Mus musculus: one gene and its partners. The protein of the gene in region 1 interacts with the protein of each later gene in a pairwise test. Links are inferred from orthologs where the notes say so. Each region holds a gene or a part of one and is shown on either strand. Other genes may lie near its edges. The genes, in order: Grb7, Kctd6 and Lax1.

Region 1 (5,063 bases):
AGACCGGGCAAAGAGATCTTGGGATGGGGGAGTTCCAGCCCCTACTCTGCAGGAACCAGCAAACCCTTGGTGCTGAGCTTGGCAGGGCTCAGACAAAATGCCAATCCCAGCAGCCTGCCTATTCTCCAGACATCCTCACCGGGACTGTGAGGCTACCCAGGACACCCAGGGTTCCCTCCACCAGGGTTGACCCTTCCATGAGGGCATGAAGGGATCTGGGGGACAGGTGAGTCAAGGCGGGGCGGGACAGCTATGCCCCAGGCTCTCCATTCAACCTTGACTCATCCACAGGACTTCCTGGCTAAGAAGGAGCACAAACAACCTGCCTCTGCCTTCCATCCCTGACTTCCCAACCTACAGGTAGCCTGGGAGTAAGGGGTGCGGGCTGGGTAGAGATGAAGATGTGAGGAGGGGCAGCCTGAGGCTCCTCTGAGGTCACCCTCCCCACCCTTGGCCAGTGTCCAGCTCAGGTGGGAATAATCATCTACCCACCTCTAGTCCTGAACCATCTCCCTGCCCATAGCCCAGGAAGGAGAGAAGAAACGCCCGGCCTGGATCCAGGAGCCTATCAGGATTGGAGCCCACCTCCTGGTGATAGACAAGCAGCATCCAGCCCTGCCTGGCCTGGGTCTGGAACCTACAACTCTGTTTGCTGTTAACTATCCCAAGATATATGATGGTGATTGTATATCTAGTCCCAGGGATTGCTCTGTGGGAGAGGGTCTCTAAACACACTCTGGGGTGTCCTGACCTGAGGGGTATCACCAGGCAGAAGTGGAGTTAAAACACCCAAGAAGACAGGCAGGCAGGCAGCAAAGCACCCCCCAGGACAGCCAAGAAGAGCAAGCAAGACCCATCTGACACTTAGCATCCTCAAGACACCAAGCAAGGAACATCAACACCGGGCACCCACTCCCACTCACCTAATCTCCTTTTTCAAGCAGAGGTGGGAGCATCAGCAAGGGTGCCCCTCCCTCAAATGGAGAAAACAACACCCAGTTAGACAGGTGTTTGAAACGGGAGGAAGTAGATTGAAGTCAGATTACAGTCTGATGTTAGAAGCTCAGGTGCAGGCTAAACTAGGGTTAGCTTCCAGATCCCTCCACCACACCCTTAAGATGGACAGCTCTAGGGGACGGTAGAGTAACTAAAATTTGAGATGAGGCAGGGGAGCCTGCTGTGGGGCCTGCCCAAAAGATGGAAAACATTCAAACTAGGGCCTAAGCAAAGGTTCCGTTGGAGAAACTGGTCCCCCAACCAATTTGTCCTCTCAGCTAGGCCACTCCAAACTCTGGCTCTCCAGCCCCAGCAGCTCCTGCCCCACCCTCTCTCCTACCCTCCCTGCTGCCTTGTTTACTTCCTGAATCTTGCCCCACCTAGAAAGCCCCAGGGGCGAGTGGCAAGGCCTAATGTTTGGGGCCAACTGCAAACAAGGCCACCATCTCCTCTTCCCAAGATGAGGCGAAGGGTTCGTGGGGCAGACACTGAGCTGCTGGCCTGGGCAGCCTGAGATCCGGCTCTGGACCAGCACAGGAAGCTAACACCCATCAGGACTTGGGGAGGGAAGTGGGGGGGGGGGGGGGCTTAACCTTTCCGGGTACCGGGAGCAGGTGGGGAGGTAGGAAACCCTGAGTTGACCCAAAGTTGATGCTCCACCCATTCCGCCGGGGTTGGGGGGGGGGTGGGAACATCCAATGAAATAAAGCGGGCGGGACAACTCTTTTAATGTTTAATTTGGGAAGAATGCTAGAGTTCTCTGTAGAGTTAATCATTAGTTTGCCTTCGGGGAGAACACAAACACACACACACACACACACACACACACACACATTAGCACGCGCTATTGGGGGAGAGCAGAGTCCAAGCTAGACAGACTCATGACCCAGAAGGCATTGCATTCTTGGGGGGAAAAGAGGGAGAAAAGGTTGAAAATACTATCAGCTGTCCCTCAGATGCACTCTGTCTCCATCCTACCATGAAAACCCAGACCTAACTAGGTCTTTCCCCCAACTTCAGCCTCAGGCAGGCCCACATACCCGGCCATACACTGTTTTCCAGGCCCCGAACTGCAGACCTTCACACTACACCCACCCCTCTAGCTTTCTTTGTCCACACTCATTTGCAGCCAGGAGGGATCCGCAGCCTGCTGAGCTTCCGTATCGGAGATGGGACCACAACGTGGAGAGATGCAGTTCCAACCATTGCGGGAGTCGCTCTCCCTTACTCCCCTCCGAATGGGAACCCCAGATTGTAGTAAACTGAGCTCAATAAGGTATTGAAGGGCAACCTCCGGATCTAGCACCCCCTACTAACTGGTGTTGGGTAAGAACTAGTTTTAGCCGGAAAGTCAAGATTTCAGGTGATGGAGAGACCTTACCTCGGGTCTCAGGGAGCAAGATGAGGAAGGGGAAGGATTGGTGATGCCAAGCAACAAACAAAACAAACAATGCAGCGCAGAGAGCATCAGGAGTGTGACTCTTTCCTTAGGGACCCAGACCTAACTTGCATCCCATCCCATCCCATCCCATCCCCCAAGATGAAGTTCCCGCTTCCGCCTTTACCCAGACCATAGCTCACCTGCCTGAGGCCACCGGTTTAGGGAGGAAGATTCCAGGCCTTAACTATCACCCACCCCCCTTCTCCCCCACCCCCACCCCCACCCCCCGCCTCTGGCCTGACCTCGCCGAGAGAGGGCGGTCAGGGGGGAGAGCGTGGCAGCCTCCCGGCCATCTAACTGGGCAGCAGGCCAGATCCGCTCGATGCAGGCACAACCTGGGGCCCTCGGTGAGGCTGGGGGTAGGAGCAGATTATCTAAGACCGATCTCGGTCGGCTTACCTGGAGCACCTCCAACAGAAGGAGCCGGACACCCGGCCCAAAGTCTGGCTCTGTCTAGAGATCCCAGACACTTAGATTTGATTTCGAATCCTTTCTCTCTTCTCTACAGATGGTAGAAAGGCTATCCCGCCTTTGGAATGTTGAGGCGGGAGAATATAGAGCGAGCCCTGCGTATCCAGATTCCAGGCCCAGGGAAACTAAAATTATCTCGGGCAGGTAAGGGCGGAGCCTGAGAGGCTCCCTGGAGAAGGAAGCGCAGGAGGAGGGGTGGAGACTCCTCACAATGCACCGCCTCGAATTGCTCTTGCCCTTCCTACTGAGCAGCAGGTGCTAGGAGAGAGGGAGAGAGAGAGAGAGAGCAGGTGCCCCGGAGAGAACAGGCTGGACAGAGAAAAATCTAGAATCCTGACTACATGGGAAGGGGAGTTTGGAGGCTGTTTGTTAAACGCGAATGGTCCCGCCCACTCCTACTCGTCCCATTCCAATGATGGTCAGTTCATTGGTCAAGCTAGGGGGCCGTCTTCAGCTCGGATCTCACCCCCTAGGGCAAAGGGCACTGGGCTTAAAAGGGAAGCCAGAAGAGGTGCTCTGCCCTTTGACCTCCAACCACAGTCCAGCCGCCCAGGCTGTTGTCCTGGCCCTGCTAAAATACCCAAGGTGCACCCTCTCTTCCGAGGCAAGTCCAGGGTCTCACCTTCCTAGTTTCAAGTTTAAGAGTGGCAAGGTGGCCTAGTGGGAGGGGCCACAGTTCTGGTGACCGTTGTGGCCTGATGCAGATGGCTTCTATTACAGCAGTTACTCCAGCTTTCTGGTTCAGCTCACAGCAAACATTGGAGGATCAGGAAGAGGGGTTGAGAGTCCCCAGATCAAAGGCAGCGGGCCACCTCCCAGCTTCCTATGGCTAAGAGTTAAGAAAACAAACAAGCCACTGGGGCGATAAGGGGTCTGCCCTGAGGAAGCACAGCCTCCCTTAGCTTTTCCGCTTGAAAAACTAATGTGGAAAGCCACCGTGGAAGTGTGTGCCTTTTAATCCCAGCTCTCTAGGGGCAGGGGCAGGTGGATCTCTGTGAGTTCGAGGCCAGCATGGTCTACATGGACAGTGAGGACTGTACAGAGAAGCCCTGTTTCAAAAACAGAGTGACGACAGACAGACAGACATCAGACAGACTAGTATGAATAGAGCAAAGCAAAAAGGTGAGGAAGGGGCAGGTTGCTTGGGCCAGGAAGCAATTTGAACAAATTGCAGGAGACAATTTCCTCATTTCCAACCTAGCAGACCTGTGCTTGGCGCTGGGTATACAGAGCAAAACAACAAAAACAGACCCGCCCTTTGCTGGCTGCAACCCAGTCGGGGAGACTGACCTTTAAGAGTCACACAAATAAGAAATGACAGGTGACAAGTTTGCCAGGTGAGTGACTCACAGGAGGCAGGGAAGGCCATGAAAACAAAGCCAGGGAGGACCTGGCAGTGAGTGGGAACCAGAGGGGTTAACCTGCCATGGTGGACCCCCAGTGTGGAGAAGCAGCTGCTGGGAGGGAATGCAGAAGAGAGTGGGGGTGGACAGGAACGGAGGCCATCAGGTAGTCTGGGCAGGTCTTGCAGGTACGGGAGGGGTGGAGGGAAAACACTGCAGCTCTTAAAAGGGGGGAACACAGTCTCTTAAGCTGCTCTGGAAAGAGCAGACCCGTGGGCCCCTCCTCAGCTACCAGAGTCTCAAAGCACTGAGGAGGCAGAGCCCCAGGAATGTGAGATATTGACAAGCCCTCAGGTGGCTGTTTTGCAAACCAGGTTTGAGAGCCATCCATCCTGTTTGTCCAGACTGGCAGGAGGAGTGGGCAGAAGCCAGACCCTGCCAGGAGTGCAGGGCTGCACTCTGAAAAAAGATCACTATGTAGAAGGCTGAGCTGGAGGAAAGCCAGACTCCAGCTGAATGAGTGATATTCTCTCTCTCTCTCTCTCTCTCTCTCTCTCTCTCTCCCCCTTCCCTCCCTCCCTTCCTGTCTGTCTGTCTGTCTGTCTTTTGTTTTTCAAGATAGGGTTTTTCCCTGTAACAGCCCTGGCTGTCCTGGAACTTGTTTTGTAGACCAGGCTGGCCTACAAAGATGCTCTCGAACTCACAGAGATCAGCCTGCCTCTGCCTCCTGCCTCTCTAGTGGTGGGATTATTACAGTCATGTGCCACCATGCCTGGCTCCATTTCTTTCTTTCTTTCTTTCTTTCTTTCTTT
Region 2 (5,183 bases), on another chromosome or scaffold:
TAGTCACTTCCAATATAAGCTAGCAAAATCTATTTAAAATATTGTACTAAATTGATCACCAATAAAGTCAAAATGGGAGTAGTCTTGATTGATTTAAAATTGGTATGTGTTCCTTGTAAACATAAACAGAGACGCAACTAGAGAGACAAGAGGGGCAAGATTCTAGCCTATCCAACAGCCGGACTCTGAACTGATGCCTGCCAAGAACATCTCAGGGGTGGATACAATAAACACAACCCAGAAGTAGCTTCAGCTTCTTCCACCTCATCGTTCTCCAGGGACGCTAACAATTCATTTCCCTTTCATCTTCTCTCCCATCCGGCACAACCTCCTCCAGTGGAGGGCTTAATGAGAACAAGCCAGGCGACAGAAGGCCTCCAAGGGGGCATCAAGCAGGCCAAGGTGAAATGTTTCCTCATAAGATTCCTTTAAGTGACTTTCCCTTACGAAAGATCTTTCTTAGAGTCATGGCTACAACCAACGACTATAAAGTTCAAAGAAAGGCTTTCTGACTTGTAAAATCGGTTTACCTGAAAATACCTGACCTTTGATTCAAAAAAAAAAAAAAATTATGGTCCTAAAGACTATCATGCTTGCTTGAACTTCAAAGGTCATTGTAACTAATGTGTAAAATCTGATAGTATGTTAGCAGGTAGTTAAGAAAAACATATTCTGAAGAATTTCTAGAAGCCTGAAAAGAAGTTACTAATTTACTGACCCTAGCAAATCTGAAGAATGCACACTCCAGGAAGTTAACAACTTAACCTGTGAGAACCCTCCTTACCACAGCAAAGCTACAGTGGGGGTTATGATAAGACAGCACAAACATTCTAGACTTACTTCTGCTATTGAGTAAGACGCTCCAGAGCAAAAGTCCTCCTCCCCTGTAACAGTCTATATGCCGTAATGCTAACCTCGGATTAGAAAATGTAATGATACAACTGTAGTCACTGCCTTCCCACGCTTTCTGGGTAGCCCTTCCAAGTGCTTTTCTACTGAAACCTTTGTGTCTGCCATCCCAAAATGAAGACCGGTAAATTTTCTCTCTCCACCTATACTTACCTTCCAAGCTGCCTTTGTACTGAGTTTCTCTGTTCTTGGGAACGTGGGAGTTTGAAAGTGAAATACTTTTTATAGTAATTGGTTCAGTGGCATCTCCTGGCGTCTTCGGAGTTAACATCCACATACAGGCCAGCACAAGTAGCGAGCGCACAAGGATAATGGGATTATAAAGCTAAATTACCACTAACTAAACCCCTCTCTCAACCTCGTGGGCTAGAAGAAAGGAAATGTAGGCAAAAAGGGAGAAAGTCCTACAAGAAATTATGAATCTTCTGACAGTATCAAACCAGAAGAATATATACTCTCCAGCTTAAGTGCTGTCAGAGTCACAAATCATAAAATTCTACTTTCCCTCAGTTTCCACCAAAATGGGTATTATGACCTTCCCAAAAGTAACCACACCGTTTAAACACAATGGAGGTAAAACTGGCCGACAGGGCAGTGAGGAGTGGCGCTCTGGATTCACGTGCAGCATGCCAGCAGAGGGCTGTGAGAACCTGAGTAGACCGCCCTTTACTACTCGCAGCATCACCAAAATTTAAATAGGTAAGTCAGACACGGTGGGCGAACATGCAGGTTAGGACCAATCTGTGTTCCCACTCTGTCCCGTCCCTGGCCCTCCTTTCCCGGAGATCCCACCGCAGTTGCCGTGAGAAAAACTAAAGGTAAAATGATGTCCAGCGTTCGCAGAGACAAACAGACACGTGAGCTCTCGGGACTTCTAGAAAGCATGACTCAGGGTTGTCTCAAGATAAAGCAGAAGACACACATACGTGTTCCGTTTAAAATAGACCCCAACTATTAAAATCCAGGATGCGACGATGGATCATAGGAGTGACCATAAGACTGCTTTCCACGCTATTGCTTCAGCTAAAATACACTTTAAAAATTTTCAAATTCTATGGCCATCTTTCTACCTACGGTATTACAAAAAACTAAGAATCCGTGTGGGCTCCTGGTTTTCATCCAAAGGGTGATTCTCCCACCCTACCTACTTAGATCTTTACTCTTTTGAAACACTTCTGGCTTTGGGCCTGTAATACCCCACCATTATTCCCATACTAGAATATCTGCAACAGCGAAAAAGATGAGCCTGCCAAGGGGGGTACATTGGAGCAGGTTGTTTGGGCTATCCCAGACATTCTTAGCTAAACCAGGTCACATCGGTCTATTTGTCTGCATCACGAAATCCTGAAACCAGGTTTATCAACTTGCTGTATGTACTGGTGTACAGAACAGAAACATGACAACTTCAGCAGAATATCCAAACAGGATCTCAGTCACGTTTCGTTTCCCCGTCCCACCCCCAGACACAGCCTCCGCTGCCATCGCCCAGCAGGTGCTGCAGGGGCTCCCCACGACCTCGCCAAGGATCACCTCTTAACACCCAGCACTAAATCGCCGTGACATCCCAAAATTCCGGTAAAAAGCTGCAATTTGTGCACAAAACCCAAAAAGCAGAGCTTTAAACTAGGGCAGTGGCGGCTAATAAACACCACTCCCCAAAACACCAACCCTTTGCCCCGCAGAGCCCGCTGGTCCCTACTCCGCGGTCTCCCGCAAGCCAAGCCCGGCCGGCCACGCGCACCGAGCCCCGAACCCGAGCCGGAGCCCAAAGCCCGAGGCGGCCGCGCGTCCCCGATTTCCCCGCCCAGGCCCCGCCGCGGGCTCGTGCCAGCCCGGGGACGCGCGGCCGCCACCCGCCGTTCTCCTCAGCCCGACTTCCCGCAGCCCCGGCCCGCAGGCCCCGCTCGCGCCCCACTCACTGCACGAGCGCGGAGGCGACCCGGCCGGGAGACGCCGGCGGCCCGAGAGCGCGAGCGCGGGGACGAGCGAGCCCGCGCCCCGCGGCGGCAGCGGCGGCGGTGGCGGCGGCGGCGGCGGCGGCGGCAGAGGGGACGAGTGAGCCGGAGCCCGGAGTTGCGGCTCCAGCTGCCCGGCGCGGGCGGCGCCTTCTCAGCAGAGTCGCGGCGCCGAGAACGCGGACGCCCCCTATCGGCGGCGCGGGGCGAAGGCCGGGAAGCCGGATCGCCGCGGGCACTCTGGGCGCTGCCGGGGCGGCGTGGTCAGGCGGGCTCTGCAGCAGTCCCGAAGCCCCGCCTCCGTCCCGTTCCTATCCCCGCCCCGCCCAGGACTCCCGCGCGGAGCTCCGCCCAGGCCACGCCCCTAACTCCCCCTCCGCTTTCAGCCTCTCCTCCTGGCCGCCAGCAGTCTCTTCCCTGCTTGCCCAGGACTCCTTCTCCGCAACTGTTTCTCCTCAGCTGTTTTCACTAAGTCGATAGACCTCATCGCATGCAGGGCTTAGAGAGAAGAGCAGCCACCCAGACCGAGGCGCGTCTCAAGACTCAAAAAAGCAGCCAGTAGACACACACAAGACAAGTTCGAATCCTGGTGAGAGCGGTCCAATAAGAAGGCTGCCTTGGCCGGGCTTGGTGGCATACGCCAGAACTCCGGAGGCAGAGGCAGGTGGATTTCTGAGTTCGAGGCCAGCCTGGTCTACAAAGTGAGTTCCAGGACAGCCAAGGCTACACAGAGAAACCCTGTCTTGAAAAAACAACAACAAAAAAAAGAAGGCTGCCTTGGAGAATAAGGGAAGATGTGACGATCTGATATATATAAAATATTAGTATACATTTAATGTTATTAATATTGATGTAATTATATTATATTAATATATACATAATAATGTAGTTAATATTATTAATGTATTAATATATAAGACTCCTGGCCTTATATATTAAGGCAGGCCATTCTGTAAAGTAATGGCTTAGAGGGACCACCGATCCAGCCTTTTAGGCAGAGAAGAGCAGCCAGTTAGAAGGGCAGAGCTAACTAACGTCATCCTGTGTAATACCTCTGAGGATCTTAGTCTGGATGGGACTGGCAAGGGTAATGTCCCTTCAGGAAGGACATCAAGGCTGCAGGGCTAATTGGATTCCATGCATAGACAAGATGCAAAAGCCACCACTTCTAGCTAGCCAGATCTCAATCCACTTCTACATGGGTGAAAAGCCACTGGCCTTAGAAACTCACCTGGGCCAGGCATAGTAAAAGTAGTGCACATCCTTAATGCCAGCACTTAGAGGCAGTGGCATGTGGGTCTCTTGTGAGCTCTAGGTTAGCCTGGCCCACATAGCTAGTCTCTAGGACAGATGAGGCTACATAACGAGACCCTTTCTCAAAAGAACAAAACAGAAACTTACCTGGTTTACACATCTGCATGTTTGTGAGGTGGTTCTGAAATCTAGTTTTTATATGTATGATCATCATCTAATATTCTATTTTTTCTCCAAAAATCAAATTGATAGGTTAAATAAGCAATGTGGACTTCAACACAATGGACGGCTACATTGACATCTAAGCAAGGATACAAACTAATTAAGAATATGGGAATAGGGCTGGAGAAATGGCTCAGCGGGTAAGAGCACTGACTGCTCTTCCGAAGGTCCTGAGTTCAAATCCCAGAAACCACATGGTGGCTCACAACCATCTGTAATGGGATCTGATGCCCTCTTCCGGTATGTCTGAAGTCAGCTAAAGTGTACTTATGTATAATAATAAATAAATCTTTTTAAAAAGAATATGGGAATATGCTCCTGCAAATCAGGACACAAAATCATACATACAGGACCCCAATGTTGATTTTAATACATACAGTACCCCAATGTTGATTTTAATACATACAGTACCCTAATGTTGATTTTAATACATACAGCACCCCAATGTTGATTTTAATACATACAGTACCCCAATGTTGATTTTTTTTTCCCTATTTTTTTGTTTGTTTTGAGACAAGTCTTCTCTGTGTAGCCTCGCTGTGCTGGAACTCACTCTGTAGACCAGGCTGGCCTCAAACTCAGAGATCCGACTGCCTCTGCCTCCCAAGTGCTGGAATTAAAGGCGTGCGCCACCACTTCCTCACCCACCCTCCCATTCCCCCCCCACCCCCCGGCAGCCCCTACTAACATTGATTTTTTTTTTAAAGGAGTACACATAGACAAAAACTTTGATGACTAAACCATTGAACATGGTATTCCAAGGCAACAGGATACAAATGTTAGTAACTTTTGCAAAAGATTTTCTCAAAAATTATGTGTATTTAAAAATTTATATATTTTGCT
Region 3 (5,218 bases), on another chromosome or scaffold:
TGGCAGAGCCCCTCATTTCATTAAGTCTCAGGTGTCTTCTCCTCCTTCGAGAGACCCTCCCCAGTCACATCCACCACTCACAGCTTTCTTACTCAGTTCGGTTTCTTCTTCAAAGCACTTACGGCTGATTGAGAGTATACATTTATTTGGTTATGTCTGCTATCAAGCGCTGCCGCTGACTGAGCCTCAGGGAGTCACGGTCTTGCCTATTCTGTTCACTCAGCATCTCAAGCCACACGGTAAGCGCTTCATGAATATTTGTTCAGTGATAAGTGAATGAAATAATAAACAAATGAACACAGAAGTAGTTTTGAGAATAACACAGTCATGGTAGAAAATGACTTATGGCAATTATCCCAAAAAATTAAAAATAGAATCGCCATATGCTCTGTCAGTCCCACTACAAGAACTTTATTCAAAGCAAATGAAAACTGTGTCTGTACTCCCGTGTTTATTAGAGATGTTTGTACTGTCATAATCTTTGCAGCAAAAGTCACCATAGCCAAGATGCAGAATTAACCCGCGTGTCTATCAACAGATAAGTGGATAGAGAGAATTCGGAATACACATGCAAAAGATATCACTGAGCTTTAAAAGGGAAGACGATCTTGTCATTTGCGACATGGTGGATGGACCCAGAGGACCTAGCATTAAGTGAAAGAACCCAGGAACAGATAGGTCCTGCTCCGTCTTGCTTATATGCAGAGACTAAATAGATTGAACTCAGAGACTCAGAGAATAGAATGGAGGTCACCAGAGGTGGTAAGGGAGGGTTCCCAGAGGTGCCAAAGGTCAGGTAGAAGGAAGAAGTTCAACATGGCAATGCTGAAAGTAATGGATTCTTGAACATTGCTTAAAAGTGTTATTTGAAGCATCCTCTCATAAAAGGATATGTCACGTAATACATACGGTATTTAGCCATCCATAATACACATGTATTGCAAAACTATGTGCTAAACATAATACATAAGTACAGATTTTATTTACTGACTACCAAGTGAAAAAGAAAGAGAAAACAACAATAAAGCAAATGTCAACTTAAAAAAGAAATAGTTTTAAGGGGTCAGTGAGAGGGCTCAGTGTGTAAAGGCACCTGCAGCCAAGCCCAACACGCTAAGTTTGATCCCTGACACCCATATGATGAAACTGACTTCTGTAAATTGCCCTCTGACCTCTACACCATTCTACTCCCCCCAGATATAATAAAGAGGGAACTCATTTTAAGAGGGTGCTCCAGGCTTCAGCGATGGATAGGAACTTGGTCCTCTTCGTTTGTGTTTGACCTGCTCGTGACACTGATTTACTCTGGTCATCACGCTGACTTTTCCTGAAACTACAGCAATTCAGGAACAGAATACACTGTCATTGGGTTTTTACTTTGATGGAAGAGCTGGAATTTACCCATTCTAATGTTTCTAAAATCTCAGCGCCCTATCAACAGATGCTTTCCTTTTGTGTATTTGAGATTGAAAACTTCCGGAGCACGTTGACATCCGTGACTAGCTCTGTAAGGTCCTAAAACTTTATGACGTCTGCAGTTACATTTCTCACTCATGACAAGGGCTTTAGGATCTAAAAACTCATTGCAGGGATTAGGCCAAGAGGTTGGAAATCTCAAGGGCAGAGGTCAGGACCTCTGAGTGGAAGAAGATCCCCTCAGAAATTCACCTCTCAGTCAGTCCGTCCCTCTCCCCTCAACCCCAGTATCTCTTTTCTTCCCTCCCAGCATCCCTCGGGGAAACAGCTCTTAGCTCCCCAAGTTTGCTCATCTTGGTGGACCCAGGTCTGGGTTGGAAATAGACCATTCCTGTAGGAGATCAGGGGACCCTGGGGCTCACTTTCCCAAAGCACTCACCCCTGCAGGCTGCCAAGAGTCCCCTGCCGAGTGCTGGGCTCTGAGTTCCTTCTTGTGACCTCTGGAGGGGCCGGGGTGCTGTACATCACTGGACCTCTGAGGGGCTTTGCAGCTTCTAAGCCTTTTCAGTGTCGTGACTGACTAGCCAGTATGGCTTCCACTTTTCTTAGCTCTTTCTAAGTTGCTGATTCATAGAGGGGAAAAAGGGTAAACTGGTATGCATTTTGCATATAATCACCTTTTAAAAAAAAAGTAGATAATAGAATGACAGAAAATTCTCCAAATCCCTATGTATTCCAAATTGTATCATTTTGTACTATTGAAATTTCTTATTTAAGTACCCAAGATGATATATATATATATACATATATATATATGTATATATATATATACACATATATACACATACATATACATATACATATACATATACATATACATATACATATACATATACATATACATATACATATACATATATGGGGGGTGTAGGATCTTGAACTCTGATCCTCTGCCTCTGCTCCCTCAGCACTGGGATTTCCAGGTGTGCACCACCGCACTCATGAAGGTGGTTCTGGAGCTGGAACCCCAGGGCTTCGAGTACCTCATGCAATGCAGCCACCTCCCAGTCATTCTTCCTAGATCATATTCACCAAGGTTCTCACATACAAAACTGGTTTTTAGTTTTTGTTTCTTTCTGAAGCTTTTAATCTTCTGTTCTAGAATGTTCTCCCAACAAACTGCCTTCTTTGGGCTGGTGCGATGGCTCTGCAGGTAAAGGTACTTACTGCCAGTTTAATGACCCAAGTTTACCCTCTGCATGCATAGTGGAAGGCAAGAACCGGTTCCTACAAATTATCTTCTGATCTTCCGAGACACACACACACACACACACACACACACACACACACACACACACAGAACGGCTGTACCACCACTACTACTACTAACAGCAACAACAATAGTAATAAGACCCAAACCTCCCTACCTTCACCTGAAATTCCAGGCTGAGTTGGTAGAAGGTTCATCAGAGTTGGTCTACTGGAGGTGGCCACAATGCCCACTGCAGGAGCCGTGCTCTTTCTCACCCAGCTGTCTGTGCTCCCAGTGTGAAGCAGTAGGGCCACTCTCTAGTTTCTGCCAGTTGATGGAAACATGAGGGGCCTGTGGGGGAGTAGGGAGGCGACTGTCAAGAGGCCCAGCGTTTTCGTGAGAAAATCTTCTTCCTCCAACCCCCAGGGCAGTGTGAAAACAGCAAACCACTCTGGCAGAATGGAAAGTCGCTGACAGGAAGCACCCTCCACCGGTGTGCTAATAAGGCCAGGGCACAGGAAATGCTCCGCTCAACCCAGACAGCAGGAAACCCACCTTCAGCCCTCCTGTTCCCCACAGGCACTCTGGCATCTGGGGCCCATGTGGTTGAAGAGTCAGAGACATGACTATTCACCCTGTTTTTCTGAGTGTTAAAAACCTCTAGGGTCAAAATTCGAAGGTTCAAGACAATGTGCTTGCGTAGCTATTGTCATTGGTTATCTTTACTTATTTATGCTTTTCACATCTATTTACTGTGTCTGCACACATGCCGTGCCACATGAGTGGGGGTCAGAGAACACTGGAGGGAGTGTGTTCTTTCCTACTTACTGTGTTGGTCTCAAGAGTCAAACTAGGGTGTTGGACAGAGGCAAGTGTTTGTATCCAATGAACCATCTTGCACACTATGTTTTTTTTGTTTTTTGTTTTTGTGAGGCAGATCTCCCTTCAGAGGTCAAGTTGACTGAACTCATAGTAGCTTCTTGTCTTAATGTCCCTGGTGATGTGCTTACAGGTGTGAATCAGGCTCAGGGCTCAGAATGGTTCTTACCCCTGCTCCCAACCCAAGACAGGGTTTCTCTACACATCCATGGCTTTTCTTTCTTTCTTTCTTTCTTTCTTTCTTTCTTTCTTTCTTTCTTTCTTTCTTTCTTTCTTTCTTTCTTTCTTTCTTTCTTTCTTCCTCCCTCCCTCCCTCCCTCCCTTCCTCCCTCCCTCCCTCCCTCCCTCCCTCCCTCCCCCCCCCTCTCTTTTTGGTTTTTCGAGACAGGGTTTCTCTGTATAGCCCTGGCTGGCCTGGAACATACTTTGTAGACCAGGCTGGCCTCGAACTCAGAAACCCGACTGCCTCTACCTCCTGAGTGCTGGGATTAAAGGCGTGTGCCACCACTGCCCTGTTCTGTATTTCACTACACAGGCCAGGCTGGCTGACCTCAAACTCTCAGAGGTCCTCCAGCCTCTGTCTCCTAAGGGCTGGGATTGAAAAAGTGTACCACCAATGCTGGCCTTAGAATGGTTCTTAGCAGATCTCAAAAGAGCTAGAATTAGTTGTTTAGAGAGCTGTACAGAGCTGGCACCCGCTTGTGGTTCCGTGGGTGGACTGGCTTCATAAATAGATCTTCTGCAGGTGATAATGCCAGAGGTGAGCTGAGTTTCATACTCTCAGAGCCTCTGTTCCGGTATCATAGTGGGAATGGAACCGAGCCCGGGTTACAGGGCCGTTGGCCACTGTTTCTTCCTCAGGGCTTCTGGTGAGGGGCTATCTGTTGCTGGCCTGGCTCTGCTGCAGCCAGTCCCAGTCCTGGGTAACCTCTCATTTCAGGTACTGCTGGGTTTCTCGCCAGCATTTACCTCAAGCTCCCAAGCTTGGGAGAAAGTTTCGAGTTTGTTTCTAAAATCCCTTCCCTTTCGCTTCACGTGTGTCGGGAAACCAACCCTCCTGGCGAGTCAGCCAGAACCACCACGAGTGTATAGAGGATGCAGGGAGCCTCTCTCACGACACTTGCCAAACCAGGTGGAGCTCCAGGTAACTGGAAGGGGTGGCCTCCGTGCCTTTGCCATTCTGCCTCGCTGGGACCTCTTTCAGGTGCACGCTGGAGTTCTTGGCTTCCAGAGCCTGGACACAACCTACTTGTTCCAGTTCTCCCAAGGCCCAGAGTACTGTGCAGGAAATCCCGCCACGCCAGGCTCTGGGGAGCCTGCTTAGCTAGAGACAGATAGTCTGGGGGCTGGGACCTAGGTCTCTGCCTACATTTCCTTGGGATCAGGTTTGAAGAAAAACTAGTATTCCTTTAACCTGGTAGTGGTGGGAGGCAGAGGCAAGAGGATCTCTGAGTTCGAGGCCAGCCTGGTCTACAAAGTGAGTTCCAGGACAGCCAAGGCTGTACAGAGAAACCCTCTCTCAAAAAAACAAAAACAAAACAAACAAACAAACAAACAAACAAAAACAAAAAACAAACTATTATTCCTCTAACCTGGTAGTGGTGGGAGGCAGAGGCAAAAGGATCTCTGAGTTCGAAGCCAGCCTCGTCTACAGAGTGAGTTCCAGGACAG

The links.
Region 2: the proteins of Grb7 (region 1) and Kctd6 interact in binary tests that used the Homo sapiens proteins (3 or more experiments, as listed by UniProt). The two-hybrid records come from large-scale screens. The link is inferred for Mus musculus from reciprocal best matches to the Homo sapiens genes GRB7 and KCTD6.
Region 3: the proteins of Grb7 (region 1) and Lax1 interact in binary tests that used the Homo sapiens proteins (3 or more experiments, as listed by UniProt). The two-hybrid records come from large-scale screens. The link is inferred for Mus musculus from reciprocal best matches to the Homo sapiens genes GRB7 and LAX1.

Annotation. Positions count from the first base shown.
Region 1 is NC_000077.6:98,445,023-98,450,085, reverse strand, and holds the start of Grb7 (growth factor receptor-bound protein 7), read right to left. Parts: upstream 3,253-5,063; 5' UTR 2,837-3,252; intron 2,602-2,836; exon of another isoform or gene 2,578-2,601; intron 1,289-2,577; exon of another isoform or gene 1-1,288. UniProt on the Homo sapiens protein: Adapter protein that interacts with the cytoplasmic domain of numerous receptor kinases and modulates down-stream signaling. Promotes activation of down-stream protein kinases, including STAT3, AKT1, MAPK1 and/or MAPK3. Promotes activation of HRAS.
Region 2 is NC_000080.6:8,211,988-8,217,170, reverse strand, and holds the start of Kctd6 (BTB/POZ domain-containing protein KCTD6), read right to left. Parts: upstream 3,091-5,183; 5' UTR 2,829-3,090; intron 2,670-2,828; exon of another isoform or gene 1,063-2,669; intron 1,057-1,062; exon of another isoform or gene 1-1,056. UniProt on the Homo sapiens protein: Probable substrate-specific adapter of a BCR (BTB-CUL3-RBX1) E3 ubiquitin-protein ligase complex mediating the ubiquitination and subsequent proteasomal degradation of target proteins.
Region 3 is NC_000067.6:133,686,966-133,692,183, forward strand, and holds the start of Lax1 (lymphocyte transmembrane adapter 1), read right to left. Parts: upstream 3,144-5,218; 5' UTR 2,844-3,143; intron 2,040-2,843; 5' UTR 1,942-2,039; coding exon 1,856-1,941; intron 1,334-1,855; exon of another isoform or gene 1-1,333. UniProt on the Homo sapiens protein: Negatively regulates TCR (T-cell antigen receptor)-mediated signaling in T-cells and BCR (B-cell antigen receptor)-mediated signaling in B-cells.